Linked DNA regions of Caenorhabditis elegans. The protein of the gene in region 3 purifies or fractionates together with the protein of the main gene of each other region. This does not show direct contact. Each region holds a gene or a part of one and is shown on either strand. Other genes may lie near its edges.

The links.
Region 1: the proteins of got-2.2 (region 3) and ndk-1 fractionate together in Caenorhabditis elegans (co-fractionation; one large-scale study listed by BioGRID). This does not show direct contact.
Region 2: the proteins of got-2.2 (region 3) and B0250.5 fractionate together in Caenorhabditis elegans (co-fractionation; one large-scale study listed by BioGRID). This does not show direct contact.
Region 4: the proteins of got-2.2 (region 3) and qdpr-1 fractionate together in Caenorhabditis elegans (co-fractionation; one large-scale study listed by BioGRID). This does not show direct contact.

Annotation. Positions count from the first base shown.
Region 1 is NC_003279.8:10,550,052-10,556,867, forward strand, and holds ndk-1 (Nucleoside diphosphate kinase), read right to left. Parts: upstream 3,863-6,816; 5' UTR 3,744-3,862; coding exon 3,691-3,743; intron 3,610-3,690; coding exon 3,516-3,609; intron 3,458-3,515; coding exon 3,143-3,457; 3' UTR 3,068-3,142; downstream 1-3,067. Other genes in the region: F25H2.4 (MPN domain-containing protein), read left to right, coding at 1,928-2,050, 2,357-2,655, 2,706-2,874; cert-1 (Ceramide transfer protein), read left to right, coding at 4,586-4,599, 4,674-4,839, 4,890-5,009, 5,378-5,692, 5,739-5,927, 6,310-6,465, 6,671-6,768.
Region 2 is NC_003283.11:20,490,269-20,499,902, reverse strand, and holds B0250.5 (putative 3-hydroxyisobutyrate dehydrogenase, mitochondrial), read right to left. Parts: upstream 5,980-9,634; 5' UTR 5,973-5,979; coding exon 5,850-5,972; intron 5,798-5,849; coding exon 5,673-5,797; intron 5,567-5,672; coding exon 5,436-5,566; intron 4,763-5,435; coding exon 4,558-4,762; intron 3,593-4,557; coding exon 3,475-3,592; intron 2,930-3,474; coding exon 2,732-2,929; 3' UTR 2,558-2,731; downstream 1-2,557. Other genes in the region: dct-16 (DAF-16/FOXO Controlled, germline Tumor affecting), read left to right, coding at 895-907, 1,661-1,920; srbc-79 (Serpentine Receptor, class BC (Class B-like)), read left to right, coding at 7,418-8,050, 8,914-9,132.
Region 3 is NC_003284.9:6,239,263-6,247,101, forward strand, and holds got-2.2 (Aspartate aminotransferase), read left to right. Parts: upstream 1-1,720; 5' UTR 1,721-1,741; coding exon 1,742-1,997; intron 1,998-2,047; coding exon 2,048-2,596; intron 2,597-2,814; coding exon 2,815-3,254; 3' UTR 3,255-3,447; downstream 3,448-7,839.
Region 4 is NC_003281.10:13,388,551-13,395,589, reverse strand, and holds qdpr-1 (Dihydropteridine reductase), read right to left. Parts: upstream 1,681-7,039; 5' UTR 1,672-1,680; coding exon 1,588-1,671; intron 1,530-1,587; coding exon 1,426-1,529; intron 1,369-1,425; coding exon 1,245-1,368; intron 1,193-1,244; coding exon 924-1,192; intron 870-923; coding exon 740-869; 3' UTR 611-739; downstream 1-610. Other genes in the region: dnj-17 (DnaJ homolog subfamily C member 21), read left to right, coding at 2,255-2,566, 2,611-2,904, 2,959-3,089, 3,137-3,307, 4,060-4,367, 4,424-4,665; T03F6.3 (Glucosamine-6-phosphate deaminase), read right to left, coding at 4,877-5,179, 5,564-5,758, 5,825-5,907, 5,961-6,183.

The DNA.
Region 1 (6,816 bases), on a different chromosome or scaffold from region 3:
ATGACCAAAAACAGAATTTTGCAAACAAAAATTGATTTTAGAGCAATTTATTGCATAAATATTCAATTTTAGAATTTTTGCTAATAGTTTGAATCGTTTTAAAGAGTTTTAGTCATTAATTTGACTGATAACACAGAAAAATGATTTTTCTTTACAACGAAATCGATAAAAAAGGAAAGCAACATTTATCAAGGGAAATCTTGCAAAATTGGTTAAAAACCTTTTATGAAATCGAAGATTTCACTAGAATAAAGCTACAAATCGATCAAAATCACTAAAAATAAAATAGTTCTGATCAAATTTCAATGTCCCAATCTACCAATGGATCTATGCCACGCCAAATTTCTTATGTAAGTGTTGCTCTCCAATTTTCCTTAAAAAATGGCTCAAATACTCACATAAATGATCAAATTAACATTTATTACAAGTTTCGTGTTATATTTTCTTTTCCTTAATAAGGAACCATCAGATTCTTCCTACCCTCTGCAGCTCTAGATACCTCAACTTCGACAACTCCTATCTACTCGGAGAGGTGAGATACCAAAAAGTGATCAACTGAGACCTTGTAGAGCACATCAAAAACTATGATATTCAATTTAACCTACGTTTTTATCTTTCAAGATGGGGGAGTTAGACGTACATTTGTATTGCATACTTTTTGTTATTATACTGGCTGCTCTAACTCCCTCATCTTAAGAGATAAACACATGATTTTAATTAATTAGTATAGTTTTTGATATGTTCTGCAATTTCTTAGTTAATCACTTTTTGATATCTTGCCTCTCTGAGGAGATAGGAGTTGTCGAAGTTACAGTATTTATAGCTATGCGCATATGAAGAATCATATGGATTCTCATCATGCTATACTACTTATCATCTGCTTTTTGTGGGAAACAATGATTCAAAAATGTTTTTTCAAATGATCAAACAAGTTGTGATTTGATCTGAACATTTAGTGTTGGTTTAGTGAAGATCAGCTGCCAACTAAACAGTTTCCGTTGATTTGTGCATTTTTGAACAATTTCAAGACTTGAAACCGTGTTATTTCTATCAAGCTGACGTTTAAAAATTGGAATCAAACATATTAATGCTTGAAAAAATTTGTTTCGCGTAGAAATTTTGTCATAGAGTTAACTTGTTCTAGTCGGTTCGAAAATCAATGAAAAAGCAGCCAAATCTTGAATTTGTTCAATAAAATGTTTTTTAAAACTTTTTTAAAGCAATAATAATCCCAATATTTAATTATTTTTTCCAAATTTCATCTTGAAAACTCGAATAATCGCGAAATTTCGTCTGAAACTCATTTAATACCGTAAAAGTGTGCAAGCGCGCTCCGTTGGACTTTCCAATTCTCAATTTTCTTAACTCTCCCGATTTGAGGCGCTGTGCTCCACCAATCTTAACGAATTTTCAATCGAATTATTGAGCTCAAGAGCTCTCATCAGGAACTTCATAGATTTTATGTAATTTTTGATTTTCTGTTCCCTAATTTTATGATTATTATCCGAATTAAACTTTAAAAACATCAAAATCATTTGAAATTTCTTGTTTCCCTCCTTTTTTTTATTTGATAAATTTTCTGCGCAAGTGCGCTCCATTGAGAATACAAATGCTCTCTTTGGAATTAACGATTTTTAGTTTATATTTGTTGAGTGTTCGAGATTCTTTTATTGTTTTAATGGTTTGATTCCAGTTTAAAATGTTTCTTAATTTTATTTATTCCTAAAACAATCTATTCATGTAATATAACTCAATTTTAAAGACGATTTTCGAGAGAGAACAACGTTATAACTGTTTTTCTTAATTTATTTTCATTAAACCGCTGTATTCAACTTCTTTTATTGTTCAATACAATCCTGAATACCTAAAATTTGTTAGATGATTTCAAATAATAAACAAAATTCGCTAAAATTCAAGTAATTTGCAGATGAAGCATCAAGTCGAAACACAGGCTCTCCCCTACTCGACAATCATCCTTCACTGCCTGAAATACCCGGCAAAGGGTGTTTTTGGACTGCTGATTGGAAACAAGAAAGGAGACAAAGTCACGGTACAATTTTATTTGTTTAATTCATTAAATGCGAACATTTTAAATTAGTTGATCGTCATGTCGGTACGCTTATTTTCTCCAAAGACAGTCGTCTTTAATACCAATTATCGATATATTAGAATTGCTAAGCTGAAAGCAAGAAAAAATAATTACGCTCTCCACCTCAAAATGATGAACAGTTGCTGAAGAGAGCATAAAAAATACTTTTCTACGTTTTGAGAAGAGTTATGCGATACTAGATTTCTGAGTCAGGGAAATGTTTTAATTTAATGAATTTGCCATCCTATCTGATAATTTATTTTCCAGGTAACAAGTTGTGTTCCTCTTTGCCATGAATCCACTCCACTCGCACCTCCTCTGGAACTTGCCACAGCCCTCGTCCATGGAAAGTTTGGTGCCTCCCTCGTCGGCGTCTATTTCTCAAATGCAACTCCATCGGACACTTCTCTCAACGTTTATGCCACTCGACTCGCCGACAGAATATCTTCTGTTACCTCTTCGGCAGCGATTCTCGTACAAGTGATGAACGAAAGACTGGTGTCAGATTGTGAACAAGACCGCCTCGTGGCATATGAAAAAGATGGAGATAGTTGGAAAGAAACGAAGTAGGAAAAAACATTTGATGTTATATATTCATTTAGTATATTCATTTCAGAACGATTTTCCAAGGTTCCAACTTCTTGCGTGGCCTTCAAGCTGTTATTCAGAAGAAGTTGTACCGAGAGCTTTCCGATTTCGAAAACCATTTGGACAATCCCGAGTTCGACTTCTATAACACAAATCTGAGCAACAAACTCGTGCAAGTGGCGGAATTCAGAGCTTAAAAGCTGAAATTATTATCCTAATTCGTGTTTTCATAACTTATTGCAGTCATCTGAATATATTATATGTTTAATCCCCTTCCGTTTTCGGGTTGAATAAAAGATTTGATGACAGCTGAGTCGTGTAGGATTGGTTGCCATGAAAACGCATTAGAGAATGCGCAGGAATAGATGTCAACAAAAACGATGTTTTAGGTGGGAAGCAATACTTTATCAACATTCAGCAGAGATACGAAAACGGTGAAAACACCGGGAGACATAAGCAATCAGTTTATTCGTAGACCCATGAGTTGATGAATGGGCTGGCGTAGTCGTTGATCTCCTCCTGCTTGAACCAGTGAGCAATCTCGCGGTTGGCAGAGTCAACGGCATCGGATCCGTGGCAGATATTGCGTCCGGTTTGGATGCAGAAGTCTCCGCGGATGGTTCCTGGGGCGGAAGCGAGTGGGTTGGTAGCTCCGAGCATGGAACGTCCTTGCTTGACGACGTCAAGTCCTTGCCAGACCATGGCGACGACTGGTCCAGAGCTCATGTACTCGATGAGGGATGGGAAGAATGGTTTGTCCTTGAGGTCTTGGTAGTGAACCTAAAAATAATAATTTAACTGGTTGGGCCTAAAATTTTGTAATTTCGTGAAAACGTACCTCAAGATGGGCCTTGGAGGCGGTCATCTGCTTGAGAGCAACAAGCTTGTATCCGCGCTCTTCAAAACGAGCGATGATCTTTCCGACGAGACCACTGAAATTTAAAAAATTAGGATTTTGAAAATCCTAAAATCCATTGAGGATGCTAGAATAAGTTTCTTCAAAGATAACTAACCGGTGGACTCCATCAGGCTTGATGGCGATGAAGGTTCTCTCAGTGTTGCTCATTTTCGGACAATCCAACTTGGAACAGGTGTCAACAGCACAGGCGACAGCGACGAACGCAAGTGAAAAGAATAACCCGCCGGCGCCCATTCAATCAACTCCGACACAAATGAAACGAGTGTAACCGTACTTCAGCACGTGGCGAGACCCGACCTCGCAGCATTCTTGGCTTTGTGCCAGAATTGCAATGGAGCGCCTTTACTGACCACTGTTTTCGACCAATTTTTTTGGACACCAATTGAACCTTTTGCGAGAATTATGTTCTGTCAAACTGGTTTTCTTCATATGAAATTTCATCGGGATTATTGAACAAAAATCGGAATTTAACGTCACCTGTAACGTCAAAACACATTGAGAAGTGAATCGCTGCATTTGATATCTGAAAAAACGCGTGTGACATAAATAGTTTATTACACTTTGTCTCAAGTTCTATGACTTATGTCTGCTTTTCGTGTCTCCATGCAACAAGCACAAACGCTCTGCATATTCCCATTAAACTATTGTGCCTCGTTACGCGTCGAACTTTATTTCATGCTTGATGACCTGGCTCCGCAAATTTCTTTTTTCGTTTCAGACACTACTTCACAAAACTATTTGCAGTACAAGGAAACCGGTTCTCCCATATTCGCCACCTTCGACGCCCTATGTTTAGAATCGACTAAATGTAAGGTTGTCTATACTCTTTCTTTTCTGCCATCGACTACCATTTAACTGTTTGCCTACCAAACCGTGAGCTTTGTTTGCAGAACAAAGTGAGAGCAAAACTGTATCGAAACGGGGAAAGTCTCTCGGAAAGAGAGCCTCTGTCTTATCATTTATCACCTGCTGATTCGCGAACGAAGCCGATGGAGAGCGAAGTGTGAGTTTTGTAGATATTTTAAATTACAGAAATTGTTTCAATGATAAATTCTAATATAATTTATCTCATTCCAGTGTCCTTCCCACGAATGGGGTGATGAAAAAATGGACAAACTACGTGAATGGATGGCAAGATCGATACTTTGAAATCACAGAGGGAAATCTTGTTTATTATCTGTCAAAAGCCGAAAAATCCCACGGATGCAGAGGAAGCATATTTCTCAAAAGTGCAATAATAGCTGTGAGCTTTTATTGATTTCTCAGAAAGTTCTTGTATATTTAAAAATTTAGGCCCACGAATTTGATGAAAACGAATTCTCAATATCTATGGGCGAAAACGTTGTCTGGTATTTGAAAGCAGAGAATTCACAGTCAAAACTTCTATGGATGCGATCAGTTGTCCGGGAAACAGTGAGTGTTTTCTGAATCTGAATTTGGTATTTTTAAAACATAATTTTTTCAAAAAATTACTTCCCCAGCGATTCTCTCGGAGTAATTACGAGATAAAAAGTTGTATATTCTTCGTTTAAATATGCTCCGATCATAGTTCAAACACCTCTCTTATGTTCCTTTTTACATCAAAAACACCATTGTTGATCTTTACCTGATTTTGTCATCCCGTGTAAATATATAGTACGGACGGTGGCACACAAAAGTCAATTGAAAGTTCGGGAATAGTACGAGGCTATAAAATATAAAAAATCGTTCACTTCGAAATTCTACTTTTAGAATCAGAGAAATCAAGTTAAAACTTCAATGGGAAAATCAATAATTTTCAGGTACAAAACGATTCGGATTATAGCTCGACTAGCACTAAAAGTCATTCCCGTAATCCATCGGTTTCCTCAGTTCTTGCTACTAATAATCAAAAATCTGATGATAATGAATCAACGAAGCTTTTTGCCACGAAACTCTCCGAACTCGAAGCATACCGAACTATGTGCAAGGATCAGATGACATCAATCGAAAGACTTCTGGAACAAGGTGGAGCCAGTTGTATTGTCCCACAAGCCACGATTCTATCAGTAAAAGCAACACATTTAGCATTGATTGTTAATATTAATCATATCGTGGATCTCGTCAAGACTTCTAAAGTAACAATTTGCTGATAGTTTGAGAATTAAATCAAATAATTTTCAGGTGGTAATACCAAACATTCCATCTTCTTCTTCATCCACTCCACCACCATTTCGGGAACCTTTATGTGCAACTAGAAGTGTTTCTTCTTCTGTTCTTCGTCGTGAATCTATTGTTGAACAAGAATACATGTCTGACGATAATTCAACAATGACAACTTCTACGATTATTGCAAGACCTGATATTGATGTGGTGAGTTTTTTGTTAATATGTAAATTTAATTTCGAGAAAAGAAAATCCAAAAAAGTTTTAAAATCCTAATTCTTATCTATAAGATTATGTTAAATCAATTTTTCAGTAAAAAAATAACTCTCAGATAAGTTTTAGAATGTTCTAAAAATGCTCTATACTTGCTTCAAAGTCATTTTGCTCCCCGATCAGTGTAACGAAAGCTTGGCACTGTTATTGAGCATTTTTCAGAACTTACTGCAAAATTTAAAGTTTAAAGAAATTATTTTCTAAATACATTTTTTATATCAATTTCGGATCAAAAATTTATGAATCTATCGCAAAAAATACGCCAGACAATTTCTAAAATTTACAATTCTTGCAAATTTGCATATTTCTCATTCAGACAAGTGATTGTGATGAGTTCTTTGACGCCGACGAGTTTGATGTGGACTCGAAAAATGGAGATACCGTTGAAAAAAGACAAGAAGAGGTGGAAGACAAGAAAAATGGAAATATAGTTGTTCCAGAGGAAGAGAAAAAGAAGACTAGCTTCAGAATTGTAAGCTCATATTACAAGGATGCAAAATTTTGCGATTTTTAGCGCCTTTTTTATTAAATGCGAGAAGTGTACGCGCCTTTTAATTTTAATATAAGTTTTAAATAAATACATCTATAAATAAAAAATTAATTAAAATAAAATTCGCAGAAACGAGAGTTTTTGCCAAACTTTCCATATTTCTCTACTAAAACATGTGCTATTGCAGGAAGGAAACCCAGTTACTGGTCACTATGACGACCTCCTCGTGAGCCAAGAACACTCTCTTTACACCACAATCGATAAGCTCGCTCTAGAACAGCTCAAGTAAGTTTATCGTTTTAAAAATCATTTTCAAATTCTCAATATTTCTAG
Region 2 (9,634 bases), on a different chromosome or scaffold from region 3:
CAGGTCTACCCTATGTACTGCCGTGTAGTCAAACAAGCTTCACCATCATGCCATTCACCTTCTTCCCATCATTTCTCCTGCCCTCTTATCTCTAAAAATTGTGATTTCTGATTATTTCAATAAATAATAAATATGTTTTGCGTTGAAATTCTGGTCATTGAGATTTTTTAGGTGGTCTGTAATCATGGGCTCTTAAAACTTTGATACACCTGAGCTTAGGCCAAAGCTAATCCTTAAAAAAAAGCTAAGCCTAAACGCTAAACCGAAGCTATTGGGATTATTCATGTGATGCCAAAAAATGCACAAATGATTTTTATACAGTTTTACCCTATCCCTAAAAACGAAGGCATTTTTTTTAATTTTTCAACATTTTTCGACATTTATCTACATCGGCCGACAGCCCGCTTCACATGAAAAATGTAGAAAAATGTAGAAAAATGCAAAAAAAGCATGTGTTTTTTTTACATTTTTCTACACACATGAATAGATAGGGGAAAAATGTAAAAAATACATTTTTGCATTTATCGTCATCTCATGAATAACCCTATAAAGCCTAAGCCTGGGCCATAGTTTTTCTGGAAAATATCAGACATTAATCTCTATTTGCCACATGGATTCCAGCAAGTTTCCACGTTAAAATCTTCGCGAGCCGTCATATCACTAAAATTCCTTATCTACATAGTGTTCTTGACACATCATTAAATTAGTTGCTCGCGGAGCAACAACTGCAAAAACGGTCTTCGTTCGGAACACGTAAGCATGCAAACACGCGCTGGAAGAGCAAAGTGCATGCGGTCACAAACATTTTTTCTCGGTATAAAATGCCAAGCGGGGTGCCACATTTCGGCATAGGCATCAATTTTCACTGCTGCTGCTGCTGAATCAACACTAAAAATGGCCGAGAAACGTGAGTTTTTGGATGTATGCTTATTTTTTCAAGAATTCATGTTTTTTGTTCAATTTGAAAAAAATTTAACAATAAGACCGAAAATGGCGAAAAATTGAAATTTTCAATTTTTGTTGATTTTTCGGCAGAAAAAAGTATGTAATTCTTTAGCAAGTTATTGTTTTGATTTTTTACATGTAATTGTACAATAACCTCATATTCCAGATATTATAGGATACAACACCAAAAAATGATTTAATTTTTTACATTTTTAGATGTCAGGCTGTCCCATTTTGGTGAGATCTACAAAAAAAGCGGGAATTTAGACGCAGACTTCTCAACTGATTTTACATGGTTAAGAACATGCTGACACGTCACATATTTTTGGAAAAAAATTCCCGCATTTTCTGTAGATCAAACAGTAATGGGCAGTCTGACACCACACGCTTCCAATAAAAAAAGTTTATTAAAAATATCGGAAACTACCCGAACATACAACCAACTTGAAAAGTACAGCACACACGTGGTGTCAGGCTGTCCCATTACGGTTTGATCTACAAAAAATGCGGGATTTTTTAACCCAAACAAATGTGACGTCAGCACGTTCTTAACCATGCAAAATCAGTTAAGAAGTCTGCATCTCAATTCCCGCCATTTTCGAAGATCTAAGTAGATCAAACCACGCAAATTACCTAATAAAAATCCAAAAATTGAAAATTTTCGGATTTTTTGTAGGTCTCCTAATACCCTACTAATATGTAAAAAAAATTTCAGTCGCAAAAGCCAAGGAGGAGATGACAGCCGCCGGTCTCTCGCCAGAATCCATCGAGGGAATTCTCAAAATCGCCGCCACTTACAAGAAGAAGGACGATGAGCCAGAACGTGATGCTGCCACTTCTTTGGCAATTATCACAAAAATGATCGGAGAGACCAATGAGTATATTAAGGGACAATCGGAAGCCGATCAGAAGATCTACGCTGTCATTATTGAGAAGAAGAAGGCCGAGCTTATCGAGGCCGCCAAGAAGCAATAGATTTTCTTTTTGTTTTGAAATTTTATTCTATTATGAGCTTGTAATAAAATAATTTTTGTAATTTTAAACTTGTAATGGTCACATACTTTTGGGAAAAAAATTCCCGCATTTTCTGTAGATCAAACAGTAATGACACCACGTATTTCTAATGAAAAAGTTCCTTTAAAATTTCGGAAACTGCCCGAACCTACTTGACCTACTTGAAAAGTAATGTACATACATGGTGGCTGTCCCATTACGGTTTGATCTACAAAAAATGCGGGATTTTTTTGCCCAAAAAGTGCACGCTTTTATCCATGCGAAGTCAATTGAGAAATCTGCATCTCAATTCCCGCATTTTTCGAAGATCGAAGTAGATCGAACCACGCAAATTTAATTCAATTATGAGCTTGTAATAAATAATTTTTTTGTAATTTTGAACTTGTAATGGTCTTTCCAAGTGATTTTTCATGGAAAATATATTCTTGTAAATTTTTTAAAAATCTCTATTTTTTCTTATAAAATCAGCTTTTTTTTCGATAAATTTTTGTGACAAAAATTGATTTTTTAAGATTAATTTTTCGATTAAAACCCTGAAAATTTTAAATTTTTTTTCGAATTTTTTCGATTCGATTTTTTCCCAGACAGTTTTTCGAATTTAAACAAAAAATTCATAAATTTCTATTTTTTTCTACATAAAAAACACAATTTGGCACATAGAAAAAAGGCGGAAAAATCACATAAAATATGCTTAAAAATTGGAAAAATCCTGAAAATACGGGGCTTCAAATCACATAAAATATGCTTTAAAAATTTCAGAAAAAACCGAAAATTATGAGTTTTGTTTCTTCAAAAACTGATAGACGACACCGAAATCCTTTGCCTGGTACTGTGGATCACGAGCCAGAATACGGTAGATTTGATGAGCCAGTGAGCCCATTGGAGTTGGTGCTTGAGTATTTGTTGAAGCATTTTGAGCCAATGAAAGGTCTTTTGCCATTAGAGTCGTTCCGAAGCCGCCAGCATAACCCTGAAATTGGAAATTTTAGGTTGATCGGCGGAATTTAGGAGACTTTCATTGAAATTTTTGAATGAAATTTCTGGCAAATCGGCGAATTGGCACATTGCCGGAATTGAAAATTTCCGGCACACCGGCAAACCGGCAATTTGCCGAAAATGAAAATTTCCGGCAAATCGGCGAAACGGCAAGTTGCCGGAATTAAAAATTTCCGGCAAATCGGCAAACCGGCAAGTTGCCGAAATTGAAAATTTCCGGCAAATCGGCAAATTGAAGGAATTGAACGTTTCCGGCAACTCGACAAACCGGCAAGATGCCGATTTGCAAAAATGTTCCAGATATTCGATTTTTTTTTTGAAAATTTCAACTTTTTTGAATTATTTTTAAATCAAAATTCCTATTAAAATCATCAAAAAATTGGAAAGTTATAAATTTAAGCTAAAAATTCAAAAAATGGCGAAATTTAATTTTTTAAATGAATTTTTTGAGGACAGAATCAAATTTTGAGATTTTTTTTTTGCATTTTTACGGATTTTCAGTCAATTTTCCATCCATACCCTGCACGAAGGGATGTTTTCAATGACTCCGGGTACTGGATTGTACGTGTCCGACGACCAACACCTTCCTGACGATGTATTCACGATTCCGGCAAGCGCTTTCGCGTCGAGACCCATTCTGTAAAAAAAATTTTGTTGAATTTTTTAGAAAAATATATTTAATTTCAATTTTTTGCGCTGGTCGTTTTACTTTGCTGATGTGGGAAAAAAAATGTTTTTCAAAATTATTTTTGACGAAACTGTTTTTTTAGAATTTTGGTGGGCGGCATTGTTTCGTCAACAAATTGGGCAAATTGGCAAATTGCCGGTTTGCCGGAAATTTTCAATTCCGGCCATTTGCGGGTTTGCCGGAAATTTTTAGAGGGAATTTTTTTCTGAAATTTTCAAAAAATAAACTGATCAAAACTAAAATTTGCCGAAAATTTTGCAAATTCGGCAATTTGCCGGTTTGCCGATTTACCGGAAAATTCAATTCCGGCAATTTGGCGATTTGCCGATTTGCCGGAAAATTCAATTCCGACAATTAGCCGATTTGCCGGAAATTTTCAATTCCGGCAATTTTCCGATATGCCGGAAATATTCAATTCCGGCAATTTGGCGATTTGCCGGAAAATTCAATTCCGGCAATGTGCCGATTTGCCGGAAATTGTTAATTCTGGCAATTTGCCGATTTGCCGGAAATTTTCAATTCCGGCAATTTGGCGATTTGCCCATTTGCCGGAAAAAAAAGTAATGAAAAATATTAATTTTAATCAGAAAACTTGAAAAATTGCCTGGAAACGTTTTTTTTTTCAATTTTTGAAATGGTTTGAACTTTCGGCAAAAAATTGAATTTTCAGCAATTTTTGCTTCAATTTTTTTTGCATTTTCCAAAATCGTTCACCATTTCCGTATTTTCGGCGTTTTTCGAATTTTTATAATTTTCAGAAGTTTTCTGGACAATACTAAATTTATAAAGTATCTTGCCATTTAAAAAATATCAAAATTATCAAATTTCGAAAAAAAAACATATTTTCAAGAGAAATTTCAGATTTTCAGCTATTTCTACTCAATTTTTTCTAAATTTTCAGATTTTCCACATACGAGATGCCTAAATTCATAGTCTCCGCGACAGCGACCATCTGGATTCCCAAAAGCATATTATTGCAGATTTTGGCGGCTGTTCCGTTGCCGACGGCTCCCAAATTCACGATATTTTTGCCCATAAGGCTTAAAACCGCTTCGGCACGCTTGAAAGTTGCATCGTTTCCGGCTCCAACCATAAATGTTAGTGTAGCTTGCTGGGCGCCTGGAAAATTATGAAAATTGAGTTTTTTAGTGAAATTTTGGAATTTTTAGTGAAAATTTGAGATTTTCAGAGGAATTATGAGATTTTTAGTGAAAATTTGAACTTTTTAGTGAAAATTTGAGATTTATAGCGGAAATTTGAGATTTTTTGTGAAAATTTTAGATTTTTAGTGAAAATTTGAATTTTTCAGTGAAATTTTGAGATTTTCAGTGAAAACTTGAATTTTTCTGTGAAAATTTGAAGTTTTTAGTGAAAATTGGAAGTTTTTAGTGAAATTTTGAGATTTATAGTGAAATTTTGAGATTTTTAGTGAAAATCTGAGATTTTCAGTGAAAATTTGAGATTTTCAGTGGAAATTTCAGATTTTTAGTGAAAATTTGAATTTTTCAGTGAAAATTTGAAGTTTTTAGTGAAAAGTTTGAGATTTTAAGCTAAAATTTCGACAGTTTTAGGGAAAAATGTGATTTTTTGAGCTAAAACTCAAGTTTTCTGAAATTTTTTACTGAGATTTCGATTTTTGTTTTTCAAAAAAAAAAAATTTCGGCCAAATTTTTGAGTTTTTAGGCTAAAATTCAAGTTTTCAACTGAATTTTCACGAAAATCACGTTAAAAACATTATTATTTTTCGAATTTCAACTGGTTTTCGCAATTTTCCGTCTCCGAATTCCCGTACCAGTGACTCCACCGGAGATTGGGGCGTCGATATACTCGGCTTTGAGCAAAGCGGCGGCCTGAGCAACTTCCAGTGACACAATTTGATCGATTGTGGAGGAATCCATGCACAGTGTTCCAGGCTGGATGGTTCTGGAATTTAAAAACTAGAAAATTTTAAAAATTAAAAAAATTTTTTTTTTTTGAGAAAAAATTTTATTTTTTATTTTTTTCCCAAAATTTTCAGGATTTTTCGTACTTAAAAATTCCAGCTTCGCCTTGATAGACGGCTTTCACGTGTGGAGAGCTCGGAAGCACTGTGATGATTTCTTTCGAAGCGGCGGCGATATCAGCAGGGTGAGCGGCGACTTCACAGCCTTCTGCCTGAAAAAATCGATTTTTAAACGAGTTTTCTCAAATTTATTGTTAATCTTACCTTAAACTCCTGCACTACTGCCTTATTAACATCGTAGACGATGAGTTTCTTCCCGTTTTTGATCAAATTCCGGGCCATATGGCCGCCCATGTTGCCGAGACCGATGAACCCGGTGAGAGACATGATTTTGCTGAAATTAGTTGAGTTTTAGAGAGAAAATATTGCGAAAAATGATCTTTAAGTGAAAAAACTGAGTAAGAATCAAGAAATTCGCATGAAAATTAATAAAAGCGAATAAAAACTAAAGTAAAATAAATGTGCGTTTGTCCACAAGTTCTACACGTGGACAACAGTGTTTGCGGACTTCGTTACGACAAATTGCGGAAAATTATGAAAAAAGCGATTTTCAGGCGGAAAATCTAAATTTCAAAGAAAATAAATTAGAAAATCGAGTTTTTCACAAAATTTCTCGTAAAATGACATATTGAACTTTACAAACAGTGCATAATACAAGGAAATCTGAAAATAAGTTAGAAAAAATCTCGAAATCGAGCAGAAAAACGGGCGGTATCGGTCAAATTTCAATTTTTTCAATTTTTAAAAAGGCACGTGGAACTTCATAAAAGAAGAAAAAACACAAGAAAAAACGGCGAAATTGACAGATAGGAGAGAAGAGTGCAGATTGCACCAGTGGCAGTGTGGTTGTGTGATCTAAGATGTTTGGGTTTTTGATTTCAAGAGTTTCAAACTGAATTAATTGATAATAATTGGCATTACAATTGGAAAAAAAAGAAAATCTATTGAAAAATTGCCAAATGCAATTTAAAAATTGCCATTTTCGTCTTGGATTAGCTGAAAAATATTTATCCTGAAGTTTCAGAGTATTTCCGGTGAATTTTTCAGATTTTTCGCGTAAAATATTCTCTAAATCCTGTGTTTTAGGGTTTTTGTGTGCATTGTCGTAAAATTTGTAACGCTAACCTCAGCCTACAGTAACCAAAAGCGAGAGTTTCTGTGCATTTTTTCGTGAAATCTGGTGCCTCGTACGTGGACACCGAGCTACCGTAACTGAAAACACCAGACTTTACGACAATTTGCACGTATTTTGAAATGTAAGAGTTGGCCGAACTAGGCCATTTTGACTCAACCACGGCTGGGGTAGATTTACGGCGCGTTGCGTCTCGGTTTTAATTGCAAAACTAAATATATTTGTCCGAGTGGAGTACACGACTTTCCCATGTCTCCGGCAGGCGATTGTCAATGGAGCGCGAAAAATGTAATGAGAAAGGCCAGAATTTCGTGTTCACGTTTTGCCAGGCTGTCCCATTACGGGTTGATCTACAAAAAAGGCGGGAATTTTTTTTTCAAGAAAAATGGTGACCTCAGCACGTTCTTAACCATGCGAAATCAGTTGAGAAGTCTGCGTCGCTTATCCCGCATTTTTTGTAGATCTACGTAGATCAAGCTGAAATGAGAAATAACACTATGACACCACGTGCGTGTTGTCATTGACAGCGATCAGAAGTACGTATTTCCGGAGAAATTTCCGCCTGACAATACCAGACGGGTTCAATTAGAATACCCATATATTCTGACTATTTTCTTTCACTTGATTAGTTTCTCCAAGAATGCTCCTCATCGCCGTTTTAACTACTCTCATATCGATTTTATTCGCCATTACCATCTGCTACCTCAACTTTCTTCTTTTGATCTCAATATTCTGGCGCAAAAGAATCCCTGTAAATTTGCATATGATGCTGACTTACTGCAGATTCGGTGTGGACTTGGTTTATACTATAGTTCTGTTGATTCTCAAAATATATTATATGCTTACAAGGATTTCTAATGACTTTATCATCAAAAACTTATACTTTTTACTTGTATTTCCAGCTGCATCAATTGGGAATATAAGATCAGTACTAACATTTTTAATAGCCCTCGAAAGAGTTATTGCCATATATTTTCCAATTTTCTTCCACATTTATCGACAAAAACTTCCGAATTTTGTATTTTTACTCATAATCCTATCCAGTGAACTTTTCAATCAGTACATGCTTTTTGGATATTGTGGAAATGTTCTTGAAACACCACTAGAGTGTGTAAATTACTTTTGTGCTGTTAACAGTTGTTACTACCGCTACTGGTTTTCACATCAACAAATAGTTTGCTTTTTGAATGGAGCTTTCTCGGTCGTTTTATTTCTTCGGCTTACTTTTTGGAGTTATTTCTCGGGAACTGAAACGAATAAGGATATTTCGAGAGTGAGTTTTATGTACAGTGCAGGGGTCGCCGGAAAACGATTTTTTCTGGCAAATCGGCGAATTGCCGGAATTGAAATTTCCGGCAAATCGGCAAATTGCCGGAATTTAAAATTACTGTAAGTTGGTAATTTGCCGGAATTGAGAAATTCCTTCCGGAAAACCAGCAAATTGCCGAAATTGAAAATTACAGGCAATTCGGCAAATTGCTGGAACTGGAAATTTCCTGAAAATCGGCAAATTGCCGGAATTTAAAGTTACTACAAGTTGGTAATTTGCCGAAATTGAAAATTACCGGCAAATCGACAAATTGCCGGAATTGAAAATATCCGCAATTCGGTAAAATGGCACTTTGCCGGAATTGAAAATTTTCGGAAAACCGGCGAATCGGAAATTTGCCGGAATTGAAAATTACCGGCAGATCAGCAAACCGGCAAATTGCCGAAAGCGAAATTTCCGGCAAATCGGCAAATTGCCGGAATTGAAATTTCCGGCAAATCGGCAATTTGCCGGAATTGAAAATTTCCGGCAAATCGACAAATTGCCGGAATTGAAAATTTCCGGGAAATTGGCAACTTTCCGATTTGGCGAGCGGCAACTACATCAAAATATCAAATTTTCGGAATTTAAAAATCTCGATTTTTTTTGAATTTCTGAAAGTTTTATGGTTTTTTCTCCGAATTGTTATAAGCTATCAAAATTGTTTAATTTTTTTCAAATTTTTTGAAGTTTTCAAATTTTTGAATTTTTTTTTGACAATTTTTTTGAAATTTTAGTGGTTCATTAAAAACTTTTTCGTCATTTTTACAGCTAGATATATTCGTACATTACCATTATTATTTTTTACAATTATAAAACTGTTTCAGGCCACCCGCATAGCTCTTCTCGACTTTTTCATAATGCTATTCTTCAATATCATTCCTTTGTACATCTCTAGTCATATTACTGGTGTTAATTTGGAGATATTGGGATTGTTTATTGTTCTTATCAAGACATTTGGATTTTTGGTTGAAGGATTGATAACCTATCGATTTTTATTTAATTTGAAAATTGACTCTGTCAATGAGGCTACAGTAGTCTCGTAACCTTTTACTCTTTTTGTTGAACTTTGTAGCTCTACTTGGAATTGCTGTATTTTCTTCTATTAGTATAGAAAAGCGCCTCAGTAATTTTATGATTTTAACAAAATTGTTTGCCTATTTTGCAACGATTGTTGACAAATTGTTTTTATGAGATTGAAGTTGTTGAACTTTTTTTTTGCAATTATAATCAGATTTTCTATATTTCCAAATAAAATTGGAATTCTTTCAGTTAAAAACTATTGAGCCCCGACACAGAAAAATTTTCTGAAAATTAGTATTGCACTCTCTAATAGCAAGCGGAAAAGCTGGAAGACTATATTATTGCAACCATACTAATTGAAGAAATACGGCATACAAAACGAATGTATACTGATTGCAGAGAAACAAAAACTATTGAAATATGTACAGTGACAACTCTATGAATCAATCATTAAGTTATCTCAAAATTTCGAACGAGAACAGACAAAATTGTTGTCAAGAAACTTGAATTTTTTGAATAAAAGTT
Region 3 (7,839 bases):
TTCATATTTATCGCAAAAATCATTTTGCACTCAAATCGAGAGAAAAATTGAGAGAAACAAAGGACTCAAAATGTTTACGGATGTCCACGTGAAAGTCACACAAATGTTGAACAATTTGTAAATTTGTAACACAAAGTGAATTACACAAAATTCGGGCGACAATCTAAAAGTAATTTTCAAAAAACTCTATCTGAACACTACAGGTTAGTGTGACGTGTGCTAGGTTTTGTTTATCAGAATTGAATGTATTGAAGTTTGCTCACAAGAGGTAATCCAAAATGATAACACTATACTCACAGGCAGTTCAGTTGTAAACGTTTTTGTTTCCAGATGTTAGAAAAATTTTTTAAACCATCTTACAATTTACATTTTATTTTATCGACCGTGGATGCGCTATAATTTCCGACAAGCAATTCAACAAAAAATAAAAATTATACCTTAGTTAAAGATTATAGAAAACTGGTTGCTTTATCTGAAAATCATTTTCCTTTTATTTGGAACAATCGAAAAAAAAACTCAAAAATTGTCCTAATCTTTGAAAATGACGGGAAAAAACTCCAACACTTTGGTGGATTCCTTTCCAGAATATATCCGAAATTCTTCACACAATTTTGAGCGGTTTTCCAAACGTCCAAACGTTAATATAAAAACCATTTTTCATTAACTTTTTTCTATGTTTTATATTTTTTCTGTACTTTAAATTTATTTTTTTTTGCTATCCCAAATTCAATTTTTGAAGTAAGACACCATCTTGAATTTTAAGACTTCCAATATCCGTGTGCCACCAGCACTTTTGACCTACCAACCTGTGTTCTCCGGCCGCGCGCGGACAATATCGAACCTTTGAGAGTGACGAACCACAACAACAACCAAATTTTTTTTCATTTATCTTGTTGGCCTCAGTTTTTCCTTGCCTTTTTACAGTCATTAGTCGCTTTTTTTCCGTTCATCAAAAATTCTTTGAGATTTTTTTTTGCGAACACGGTGCTGCTAATAGAAAAGTTTAAAAAATTATATTATTTAAACAAATAATTTCACGACCGAAGTACGGCGATTTTCTTATATTTTTTTTCGAACGCAGTTTACTTACTGTTTACCAGTTCTCGAGCGCCGAGTTACACAAAAACGACTGAATCGTCGAACCGCATGTTTCTCACGTTGCCGCGGCCGCCCGAGTTTTCCTCTGCCACCCTACACTCTCTCGAATCTCCGTACTCTCTAACCTAGTTTCTCCAGTTCTTCTCACTTGTCGTCTTCCTTGCCAGTTCGTGGACTGGGATAAGATGAGCAGACGCGTCCATTCTTTCATAGGCGGTGCAGTCGGTCCATTTTGTTGTTTCACATCAGTTGTTTTTGATAGAGTCAATAAGTTTAACTACAATTTTAGCCTAGTTTGATGCCACGCCGTTGCTAAAGGCTAGAAATGTGGTTAGTACCCTGAATGGAGTGTCCTAGGGTATCTTTTTTGAATTTAAAAAAAGTGTCCAATCAGCCCATTCAAACACCATTGAACACTCAAATAATTGTCCTGGTAAAGATAATGATACCCACGTTTTATTTTATTTTTGTTTCTTCGGATAAGGAATCATGCGTTGTACGTACTCTAGTCTTCCCTGCTATCAATGTTTCGTTGCTTCATTCTAATCGGAACGTGATTTCCACGCCTACTTTCAAAACGTCTTTTAAGTTCCCACTCGAAACATTAATATTGAATATTCAGGTAATCTTTCTCCAATCAACAATGAGCGTTTCCAAGAAGCTTTTCTCTACCGCCGTGCGAGGAAAGTCGTGGTGGTCGCATGTTGAGATGGGACCACCAGATGCGATTCTTGGAGTCACCGAGGCCTTCAAAGCCGATTCAAACCCAAAGAAGATCAACCTTGGAGTCGGAGCTTACCGTGACGATCAAGGAAAGCCATTTGTTCTCCCATCGGTCAAGGAAGCTGAACGTCAAGTGATCGCTGCCAATCTTGATAAGGAGTACGCCGGAATTGTTGGTGAGTGTTATAAACTTATTGATCCATTTGAACTCTTTATTTGTTTGCAGGACTTCCCGAGTTCACCAAGCTCTCTGCTCAACTCGCTCTTGGAGAGAACTCTGATGTGATCAAGAACAAGAGAATCTTCACCACTCAGAGCATTTCTGGAACTGGAGCCCTTAGAATCGGATCTGAGTTCCTTTCTAAGTACGCCAAGACCAAGGTTATCTACCAGCCAACACCAACTTGGGGAAACCATGTTCCAATCTTCAAATTTGCCGGAGTCGATGTCAAGCAATACCGCTATTATGACAAGTCCACCTGTGGTTTTGATGAAACTGGAGCACTCGCTGACATTGCTCAAATCCCGGAAGGATCCACAATCTTGCTTCACGCTTGTGCTCACAACCCAACTGGAGTTGATCCATCCCGTGACCAGTGGAAGAAGATCTCCGACATTGTGAAGAAACGCAACTTGTTTGTCTTCTTCGATATGGCTTACCAAGGTTTCGCTTCCGGAGATGTTGACAATGACGCGTTCGCTGTTCGTTACTTTGTCGAGCAAGGACACAACATTGTTCTCTCTCAATCCTTTGCCAAGAACATGGGACTTTATGGTGAGTTTACATACTAATTTGTTAAATTTGAATTTTACAAGCTGGAGTTCAATACGAAATGTATTGTTTTTGTGCAATAGAGCGCAGTTTCTTCTTGGTGTTGGAAGTTAGGCCATGATAACGCGGATATCACTGGTGTCGCATTATCCTATCTTTTCTACCCTTTTGTAGCCCTAACCCTGAATACTGCATAATTTTTATAATTTATTCTGTTTAAGGTGAACGAGTCGGTGCTTTCTCCGTTGTTACCTCGGACGCTGATGAGGCTGCTCGTGTTGCTTCTCAAGTCAAGATCCTTATTCGCCCACTCTACTCCAACCCACCAGTCCATGGAGCTCGCATTGCTTCCCGCATCCTCGCGGATCCAGCTCTCAACAAGCAATGGCTCGGAGATGTCAAGCTCATGGCTGATCGTATCATCACCATGAGAACTACGCTCAAGGATTTGCTCGCCAAGGAGGGATCTACTCGTAATTGGGAGCACATTACCAACCAAATTGGAATGTTCTGCTTTACTGGAATCAACCCACAACAAGTTGAGAAGCTTATCAAGGAACACTCTGTCTACCTCACCAAGGACGGACGTATCTCGGTGGCGGGAATTTCATCGAACAATGTCGCTTACCTTGCCCACGCTCTCCACCAAGTCACCAAGTAAATCAGTGACAAATGCACTCTTCCCATTTTAACTTATTCTATCTGTCATAATAGAATAATTTTCTCGTTTTCGGTTTTCTTATTCTCCGGTTGTAGAATGGCAGTATGCTTTATCTCATTTTTATTTGTAGCCTGTTTTTTTTCTGAGAATGGGAACTTTTAATAAATTGGGTTTCGACCTTAATCTTTACTGGAGTTGGTTATTGAAAAATGATATGCACGATATTTGTTTAGCAATTACGTTAATTCAATTATTCGATTCTGAAACGTTGTGTTTCTAACTGTTTTGAAAGAAATATAATTGTCAGTTTTCTGAAAACGAAAAATTAAAAAAAATTAATATCACTTTCAAATTTAAATTTATTTAGTTGGAAGTGTGCTTACAATGAATGGTATAACACGCACATATTTTGAGTTCTCTGAAACCATAAGATTTTCGAGGAAAAAGACAAAGTATTTTTATAAAATCAAATTATGTTAAATACATTAGAGAGTTAAATACATAATTATTTAACAAAATTTTCAGAAACTTTTCGACTTCAGATAAACGCATCGGTGTGGTTTTCTGAAACATGGGCGTAGAGTTCTGGTATTTAATTCTGCAAATTCAAGTCACGGTCATGGGTCAAAATAAATTGGTTAGAAAATCTATTTTTTTTTCAAAAATTATTTCAGCTTGTTTTCAAAATGCCTTATAAAAACTGAAACCAAAGATTACAAAATCATACCTGGACAGAACTCAAACTAGCCGTGAATTTTCAGATGGTATTTAGCTCGTCGCAAATCAACAACTTACTTCCAGTCAACTGCTCAAATAATATATACGAAATTGGTTCCAGTAGATTTCAAGACGATAAGTGGGATAAGCTGAGAAAATGGGCAAGCCTCGCGCAATGAATTTTCAGAGTCCAGTACTTCCTACGTTAATGGATCCTCCATTATATCTCAACTCGAAGTTGTTAATGAGCGCATCTATATCGGCCGCCGAATCAAGCCGACAACCATCCAATGGCGGGCCTCTACCGATGACGCCAAGCAGCTTGGGCTGCATAATTAAATTAAAAAAAAAAAAAACAAAAAGCATAATTTGAGAAAACAGGTTCCCTCAGTAACAAGAAAATCTGTTTGATTCTATTTGATTCCTCCAGTTCTTGCTGCATTCAAAAGTCCCAAAAAGGCTTCGGTGAAACATTTCCGAATGGGCAAAAATTACGCTGGTCTATCAAGACTGTAAAACTTTAGACTGCAGCCTGAAGCTTGAGGCATATACATTAAAACCTGAGTTTGATGTTCTAAGACTATGAACATCTCAGGCGGTATTGGGGATTTATATTTGAGAGATAAGCTTGAAGACACAACTTGACGAAAACAAGTTCATTGCCATGTTTAGACATATTCAGTTGAACAACACCCAGCCTGCCGTGTGAAAATAAAAATTACCATGAATGATTTTTATAATACTATCTTGTTTCCGATGACGATATTAAAGAAAACGTGTTGATAATTTACAAATCACTCGTGCAAACTGTGCTCACAATTACCTGAACATTCACTTGTATTTTTTTGGAAGCATCAACTTTGGTCGTTTATGCAGTTTTACAATAATGAGCATAATAATAACCGAACTAATGATTTTTCATAAATAATTCATGGGTGAGCATGGGTGATCTACCAGATTTGAATAACTATACTTCAATTTAAAACGTTCTTCAACCGATCCCCTATTTTTGTAAATCGAGAGTATTTTTCACCGTTGGTCAGTTTGTTTGTTTTTGATGCGAATTGCTGCTCCTTTGTTTTCTTTTTCTTTACAGAAACTGCAGTCCCGTTTGAAATTCAAAATCCCCCATATTGTCTCATAGAACAATGGGAGTTTTTTTTTCTGCAAAATTTGTTATCTGACGTGTACCAAATATCCAAGCGTAAATCATCAATTCAATTGAATTCAGGATTACGAAAGTGATGTACAGTTATTTGAGCAGCTTCACTTATTTACTGCTCGGCTCATTGACTCATGTTTTTTGACGACACACACATCAATCGTTTGGAGCTGTGTGCACACATTGTGGCTCGGTTTTTCCATTGTCGGTTTATGAAGCAAAAACGAAAAACCGGCAAAATAATAATCAACAGGCTGCTGTACAAATTATGAAATCAACACTTTCCGAAAATAGATCTCATAATTTCTGAATTGTATAGTACATCGGAGATCCATTGCAAGCCCGGAATAGATATGATTCAAATTATAGATACATTTTTCTGTATGAGTCCCTATTTTTGTACACAGTTCTGACGCATTTTCAATTTGTACAGCACTGGAAATGAATCATGGTGTTTCGAAATTATGTATCTGAACTAATAACTTTTAAAAAAATAGCAATAGTTCGGCGTTACCAAAGATGCTCAACTAGTTTTCCCATTTTGAAAGAACTTAGAAAGACTTAAGTCTCAACTGGAAAACTGTTAAAAAAATAATAGAGTATGGAAAATGTATAGATCATACAAAAAATTGAAATCAAAATATCTATAAAGATTACTACAAAATTTAGTCGAAGGTTTCAAGTACTCAATTTTTCAATTGGTACATCATCCCGAATAACGATGTGGGAAAATTTGTAAATTAACAAAGTAGTTTAAAATTAATTTGAAATGTTTTTACAGACTTCGTATTGCTGAATCTTCCAAAAACTTTCGAACAGAAGCATATTGTGTCAATTTTAGCTATCAAAGTAGCAAATTGATACAATACATTTTATTCCTTAATTAATTATAGCATAAGTTGGAGAGTTATTTCAGAATCATTTTCATCTACTTTTATGACCGTAAAATACTCATATTCCGCTCATAAAACTTAATAAAATATTGCATACATTTTGGGCTAGATACATTTACATTGTCTTTTTATGTCGTTTGTATTCATTTTTCCACCAATGATAACCAACCTTTGTTACATTTAGTTTCAAATATCTCATTAAAAATGAAAAAAAGACATAAAAAATAAAATTTTCATATGGAATGTAAAGCTTTCTAATCCCTTTTTCATTTCAATCCGACTTCAAATTATTTTATTCAAGAAGGAATAAATTAAGTTTGTTTAAGTTTTTTAATAATCCCTCATTTCCGAAAATATTCACCTGTTCTTTGCTGCAACCCACAAAGGTTTTTCTCATTAAAACACGTGAGCCAGCCTGAAAAGTCAACACTTATTGAGTGAGTCATTGCGTGGGAGTGGTCGCCAAGTTTCTCATCGGTTGATTATATGTTTTTCTATTCAGATAATGATTGAAATCTGTTGATAATAAAAATGTATACTTACATTCTGAGAATTCATGTTCGAAAATTTATTTAAACATGTTATTAGTTGGTTGACTTTCTGTCTGATGCAGTGTTTTGTGTTTTCTTTTCGAACAAAAAAACCAAATGAACTTTATTATTCTCAAAATATGTTTTTCTGGAAACTACATTTAGAACGAAAACATTTCAGACTCCATCCCAAAGCTTCACGACCTTTTTGAAATTGAATACTTGCGGAAAAACGTCTCTTCTATATATGATCTTCTTTCTTTTGAATAGGTAAATGCCTGACACTGTCTCTATCTTGATTCCATTCCGGAAATGAGAAGACACCCAGCATAAATGAGATGTGGGAAATGGAAATAAAAGAAGTAACATAACATGAATTCTATTTTGTCATTCCGGGTTATTGTCTCTGAAGATCTATTGCTTGTTTGATTTTTTTATTGTGTTTAAATACAATTTAAGTAAATAAAAAACTTCCGCTATTTGGTTCTATATATTAAAAAGCCAAGTCATACATCACTAAAATTACTTTTTGAGCAAAATAAGTTGTTTTCAAAACGCGGAACCACTGTCTATTTTGTTTTGCACTTTTCGGTTTTATTGAGCTCGATGAGTTCATGTTTTTTAACTCAGTTCAGACAAAGTAAGAGGAAATGAATTTTTATAGCGACGTTAACGCTGTCGTGTCTTTCAGATGTCATAAAAATGCCCATTTTAAGAAAAACAAAACGGCTACCGACGAATAAATTAAGACCTGCGCGAGTTTTGGTGTTGTTCTTAAATGATTTTATCGAGGTTTCGAATGTGTAGGAAAGAAAGATTTTGGGAAAGAAAAGAAGAATGCCAAAAGTATCATATGACTTAAATAGAGTATTGTTGAAATGTTAAACGAAAAAAATGTTTGCGTTTTAAAAACGTAGTAAAAAGTACAAAAACAGGTTGTAATAGTAAATAAACCACACATATATTCAGAAAATCAAAATGTACAAAGTTCAAAATTTTCAAAGAAAAACGTTTACACAATTGTTTCCACGTCTAGAATTATGAATCATGATTACTTTTCTTCACTGAACCTATATACCTTTTCAAAAATGTATACTAAGTGTTATAACGTTTTTTTCTGCCCGGTGGCAGGTTTCCACAAACCCGTACCGGAAGGTTAATTTTATTTTTTCCTGACTGTCTATTTTGTTTCAAATTCACATTTCCCTTTTAAGAACATTTTCAAATCTCCCTGACAACTTCTTCCGACGAAGTCGTAAATCCTTTTCTAAGACATGTCGAGC
Region 4 (7,039 bases), on a different chromosome or scaffold from region 3:
GTGAAGATTTATTCTCTGCAAACAGATAGAGGAGAATTGGAAGAGAGAAAATGATATGGGAGTGACTAATAAACTGCGGGTTTCTCTGTTTTCTTGTCATATCAATATGGTGAGAATTGACGAATTAAACTAAAGATTTGGGACAAGAATTATGTAATAATACGCTGAAAAAGAAAACGAAAAAAAAAAACAATTTTTCGGTAATTTAAAGGAGCATGAACAATATGTTGTAGATTTTTAATTAAAATCGTTTCAGGACCCATCGCAAAAGTGGTGTGCCCCTTCCAAGGTATATTTTCCATTCTCTGAATTCATAATATTTTGGTAAAGTTATTTTCAACGTAATTTGTATAAAATCTTTTGCGAGTTTCTAGCAAATTTTTACTTTTGCCCCGAAAATACGGTACTCGGTCTCAACACGACAAACTTTGATTAACTTCGAAAAGGGATGCGCCTTTAGGGAGTACTGTAATTTTGTAACATTTTGTTGCCGTAGAATTTTCTATAAATTTAAAGAAAATAGGGAACTAAAAAAAAACCATAAGAAATTGTCGCGTCGAGACCGGTACCGTATTTTCAGCAGAAAAATTGCAATATTTCGCATCTAGATAATAAAACATTTTTACTTAAAAACATCACAAGCTTTATGGACAAATGATTTAGAAATTGATAGCATACTACATGGAAAAATAACAGATAATAAGCGGAATGTAAAAAAGGCTGAAAAATGTCGGTAAAATTATTGTGGAGTGATAGTCGATGTTCCATTTTCAGTGGTTATTTTGAGGAGAGCCCCGGAAGATGGACGGCTCGATGTTTCTGTGGTCCATTTGAGAAGATGTTCAGAGATGAATGAGAGTGGAGTCCAGCTGAAAAAAAAACATAGAAAACTATGCAAAAGAAAAAGAGTAATTTAATTTTACCTTGAATGATCAGCATTTGGCATCCATTTTCTGTTCATTGGGGTGTCCAAAGTGACTGGCATAATTGTCAAAACGGCCGAATTGTCAGGCAATCCCGAATCTTTGGCAGCCAATGAAGATGTCAGATGATGAACTGCAGCTTTTGCCATACCATATCCAATCATTGATGGAGTTGGTCCCATAGCAGCAGCAGCTCCTGTAAGCTGAAGAAGACCTCCCGGCTTGAGGTGAGTGGTGGCCAATTTGGCTGCAATTGCTGAACTCCAGACCTGAAAATTCACGGTAGAATAATACCAGATGTTTAGGATTAATATATGTTACCGATTGTTTGATCATTAAATCAGCATTTTTCACAAAATCTTTTGAAGAAGCGGAGCCTCCAGCCCATCCACCGGCAACACAGAAAACTCCATCAACCTGACTTCCCTGGAGAGATGAAGCAGTTCTGCAAATATTTTATGAGGTTACGGTAGCTTTTTTTTAAATTAAAAATACAACTTACTGCTCGAGAATGGATTGTTCTTGTTCTGTCCAATTTTTATTTCCGTCCACCAAAATATTACTGTCAGCTTGGTCATTGGCACTCAAGTCGATGTTTAGAACAGTCTGAAAATTAATGAAAATTAATTTACAACATCCTAATTCAATTTCTTTTAAAACTTACATAACCATTTTTCTTGAAGAATTCAAGAATAGCAGATCCAAGTGCGCCTTTGCCTCCGTATACGATAACTTTTCCACTGGACATTGTTCGAAACTGCAAGGAAAAAGTAAAGAATGACAATATGGAGGTTGAAGGACAAATTGGCCGCGTGGACGACGTCAAGGACGATTTTAATGTGATACTGGTATCAACGAGTGATCAGAGACACAGATTTTTAATGTTAAATGAGGGAAAACTTGATGGAATTCAGGAAAATAAAGATGAAACAACATTTTGGAAATCGGTTTCCGAGCTTGAACTCGAAACGAACTTTTGTTATCGAGAGTTTTATCAGTTATATTTTTGCAAGAAATTTGGCAGACATATCAATCGATAGCTCTTATTTAGCTCAACAACATTTAATATGAATCACAACAGGAAAATGTGAATTAGCTTCTCAGAATTCGTCAAAACATCGTGGGAAAAAATATAGGAAATTATTTTTTTACAATTGCGCTCTAATGTAGATGGCGAGACATCGTGTGGAAAGGAGAGACGATAGATAACTTTTTCTTTTCATTTAATTCTTTTTCTTGTTTCTATTATTATTTAAATGGTTTCGCATGAACTATTCATTTCAATTTATAAAATAAAATCATATTTAGAGTAAATTTTAAATATTTCAGCTATGAAATGCCATTACGAAGTGCTCGAAGTTGAACGCGACGCTGATGACGATAAAATCAAAAAGAACTACAGAAAACTAGCGCTCAAATGGCATCCCGACAAAAATCCGGATCGCATCGAAGAGTGTACTCAGCAATTTAGGCTTCTTCAAGCTGCGTACGACGTTTTGAGTGATCCACGAGAACGCGAATTTTACGATAGACATAGAGAAAGTATTCTGAAGGGAAAAAATACGGATTTCGAGGAACAATCCACGGATTTGTTCCCCTATTTCACCGCTTCTTGCTATCAAGGATATGAAAACGATAAAAATGTGAGAATGAAATCTAAAAAGTAAATCAAAATTATAAATTACAGGGCTTCTTCACTGTCTACCGGAAAGTCTTCAATATCCTAGTTTCTGAGGAATATGATGCGTACAACGATTCAACAATAGTCTATCCAGAGTTTGGCGACAAGGATACCGATTTGGAGCAAACTGTGAATGGTTTCTACGGTTTTTGGAGCTCTTTTTCGACAACTCGCTCTTTTGCCTGGCTGGATCATTATGATATCACACAGGCTTCAAATCGATTCGAATCACGGCAAATCGATCAGGAAAATAAGAAGTTTAGGGATGTCGGAAAGCAGGAAAGGAACGAGCAAATTAGGGTATGATTGTCCGGAATATTTAATTTTAAATTTAAATTTAACAAAATTTTTCAGAATCTGGTCGCTTTTGTTCGAAAACGTGATCCACGTGTCAAAGCATATAGGGAAATTTTGGAGCAAAAAAAATTGGAAGCACATAAGAAACAAGCTGATAATCGAAAAAAGCAGATCGCCAAAAATCAAGAGTAAGTTCCGAAATTGTGAAAAATAAGGAAAAAATTGAATTTTTCAGGCTAGCCAACTCATATCTGAACGACAAAGAAGCCGAGGCAGCCCGTCTTGCTCATTTGATTGAAGTTAGTCTACAAATGGCCGAGGATTACGATACTTGTAGTGATGAATGTGATGAAGAAGGAGAAGAACTTCCATATTGTGTTGTTTGTAGCAAATCGTTCAAAACTGTGTAAGCAGAATATTATAAAGACGCAGAAAAATGCCATTTTTGAAATGGAGATGCAAGTACGCTTCACGGAAAAATTAAATCGCTCCGCCTCCAAAGTTGGGTCTTGTTAGGCATTGGCTGCAAAACCTTAATTTCAAACGATTTTTGTTTAAAAAAAAGCTTAAAAAATGCACAATAATCGAAACATTGAGAATTGAAAAACGAAAATTATAGATTTATCGGAACTCCTTTAAAAAATTTTTTTTTGATCTTTTAAAATCGAAAAATCTAAATAAAACGTTTAAAAAATGAAAAAAAAGAAGAAAAATTGAAAAATTTGAGGTCATTTTTCTAAAAATCAAATTTTTTGAAATATTGAAAAAATTTTTAAAAAAACATCGAGAATTTTTTTTTCGAATTGGAATGAACCAAAACTAAAAAAAAATCGATATGTAATTTTCCGATATAAAAAAAAAGAAAAAAGACTAATTTTTCTTATCAAAATATACAAAACTTTATAAAAAAGTTGAAATTGTGTGTCAATTTTCTGAAAAATAATTTTTTTGATTTTTTGATTATTTTAGAAAAAAATGAAAATCCTTGAAGAAAAGTGAGAGACAAAAAATACGAAAAAATATTGAAAACGTTTAAAATTATGGATTTACCGCCACTACCTAACGAGACCCAACTTTTGTCCGTGGAGCGCGCTTGCACCTCAATTTCAAAAGTCTGATTATATTCATCTCTATAATATTCTTCAAACTTAATTTCAGAAACGCCAAGTTGAATCATGAGAACTCGAAGCAACACATCCGTCAGCTGAATGAGCTGAAAAAGCATATGAAAGAAGAAGATTCCACGATTTTCACCGAAGCAGAACCGAAACCCGACGAAACACCGAAAGGAAAGAAGAATAAGAGAAAGGATAGGAAAAAGGGGAATGGAATATTTGATGTGGAAGAAACAGAAGCAGTAGAAGCCGAGATTCAGGAAGCGCCGCCCGTGGAAAATGAGCAGCCGGAGGAAGAGGAAAAGGAATGTACCCCGGAAGTTGTTAAGAAAGAGAAAAAGAAGAGAAGAGGTACATTTTGTAGAATTGCAAAATCTTTAAAACAAAAACAAAAATTTTGTTTTCAGCTGATAAAAATCAAAACCCATCGGCGACAGTAGAGGAAGAAGCACCGAAGTCAACTGAACCAAAATCTGCAATTTGTGATAAATGCCGTGAGGTATTCGATAGCCGGACCAGGTTATTTGCTCATTTACAAGAAACCGGACACGCCACGTTGCTCATCAACAAACCAGGAGAAAAAGGACAGAAGAAGGCGAAAAATAAGAAGGGACAACGTGGAAATAAGGGGGATGATGAGGATTGGTGAAACATTTTTTTTTTGGTATTTATTCTTGTTCTAATTGTTTTGTTTGTGAAAGTTTAATAAATATTTTTCAAAATTCAATTTTATTGAAATGTTTCGGGAAGAATAATGGGCAAATAATGAGTACCAAAATGTTCAATATTTAGTATTCAAAGTTACAGTGAAAGTTACAGTGAAAATTAGTGGAAGGGTACATGAAAAAAAGTAATACAGATTAAAACATGACAAGTGAACGATGATGATTCATTAATCCTTTGAAATATTTGACCGTCTTCACTTTCAACTCCAACGTGGCATCTTCGTCGGCAATAAACGTTGCACATCGATGCATCTGCATCGCAGAGACCGTACACATGTGAGAGATTCCGCATTCGATTGCCTGATGAAGAGCCAGCGCTTTGTGTGATCCTGTGATGAGAATCATCACTTCACGAGCATCCATTACAGTCTGGACGCCGACTGTCAGAGCTTGTGTTGGCACTTTTGTGATGTCTCCACCGAAGAAACGAGCGTTAGCCTGGAATTATTATTTTACTCCTGATTCCAAATATCTATGTGCACACGCGGTTCTGGCTCATTTTGACTCGGCCAAGGCCGGGGTTTAGTTGCAACGCTAAATGTATTTGTCCGTGTGGAGTACACGACTTTCCAGCAGGCAATTGTCAATGTAGCGCGAAAAATTCAATTATTTTAAGACGACTTTCAAACGCGCGTCAGAAACATTCTCATTGGAGCGCGCTGTGACATGTCAATTTACGAGATGATTGACGTTTTCCAACAAATTTCGTTCAATTTCGTCGGATTATTGTTGTCAATGGAACATTTTTTCCGACAAAACTGAAGAAAAATCGTAAATCGACACAACACGGCGCGCTCCATTGAGAATTTTTCTGGCGCGCACCTGAATTGTATCCTCGTTGAGGGTCTTGATACGTGTACGGCTTGCCAGCGAACTTCCGGGCTCATTGAACGCAATATGGCCATCTGGACCAATTCCACCGACAAATAAATCGATTCCGCCAGATTCTTTGATTTTACGCTCGTACTCTTCACACTCCTTCTCGTGATCAGACGTATTTCCGTCGAGAATGTGAATCTGAAATTATTGACTTTGGAACCACATTTGGCGAAAAAAAAAAAACAACAAAATCAAAAAAATTACATTAGCTGGATTAATGTCAATGTGTCGGAAAAAGTTGTCAAACATGAAGGAGTGATACGATTCTGTATGGTCACGTGGAAGATCTGGAAATATTTATTAATTTCAACTAATTAAAGAAATATCAAATTTTTCTCACCGACATACTCGTCCATATTAAAAGTTTTCACTTTTTCAAAGGAGATAACTCCGGCATTGTAGAATTCGATGAGTTTCTTGTACATTCCGAGTGGAGTTGAGCCGGTTGGCAGTCCTAAGACGAGATATTTTCCATTTTCAGTCGCTTCATTGATCTTTGTAACGACATATCGAGCAGCGAATTCGGCGACTTTATCGGCGTTCTCCTCGATAATCAATTTCATTCTGGGCTGAAATCAAATTAGAAAATTAGGAAAAAAAAAGAAATTTCTAGAAATCAGAAAACTTTGAATAATTTCAATAAAAATGAAGAAATTTGACCGTCTGGTTTACTGTAAGTTTTAAAGGCGCACACAGAAAAATAATTCTTGCGTCTTGGAGGGAAAACACTTGTTCATTAATTATTTTTTTCAAAATAATATTTTTTTTTTAATTTCAAAGAATTCCAAAAGAGCGCCATGTAGGAAAAATGGTAAAGTTAAAATAGTGAAATCGAATCAAATTTAAATACTGAAAATGACAGCCTCGTTCTTGATAAATATGTTTCGAAATTTCGAAAGTGAGACAAAACTGACAATTTTCGCGGCATTTAACCTATTTTTGGCGCCGGAAAAACTGCTGAACCGGAACTGTAGAAAAGTCAAAATGTTCACTTTGACATCAACTTTCGAAATTCTATTCATTGCAAATCGAAAAAAATTCTTAAACTCCAGAAATCGTTCCAAAAATCGTAATAAACGAAAACTGGCCAGAATGTGCAGTTTTAAAGAGCAGTCAATGCTTATCTTATCGAACAATTTGTTGATAATTGACCGAATTTTCGCAAACAACAATATCTTATCGAAAGTGGGGGAAACATGAGACCTAATAAAATGTTTATATTTATGTATTTCAATGAATCTGAGTGAGGAATCAAAATCAAACTATTACCCGGATGCGAAGTTTGCAAAATTGAACACGAAAGTACGGTTCCCGGTCTCGACACGACAAAATTTTGCTCACTATAATAAGGTGCGCGCCGTTAAAGAGTACTGTAATTTCAAACTCCCTGTTATCTTATTTTGTAGAATTTCTGGGTCT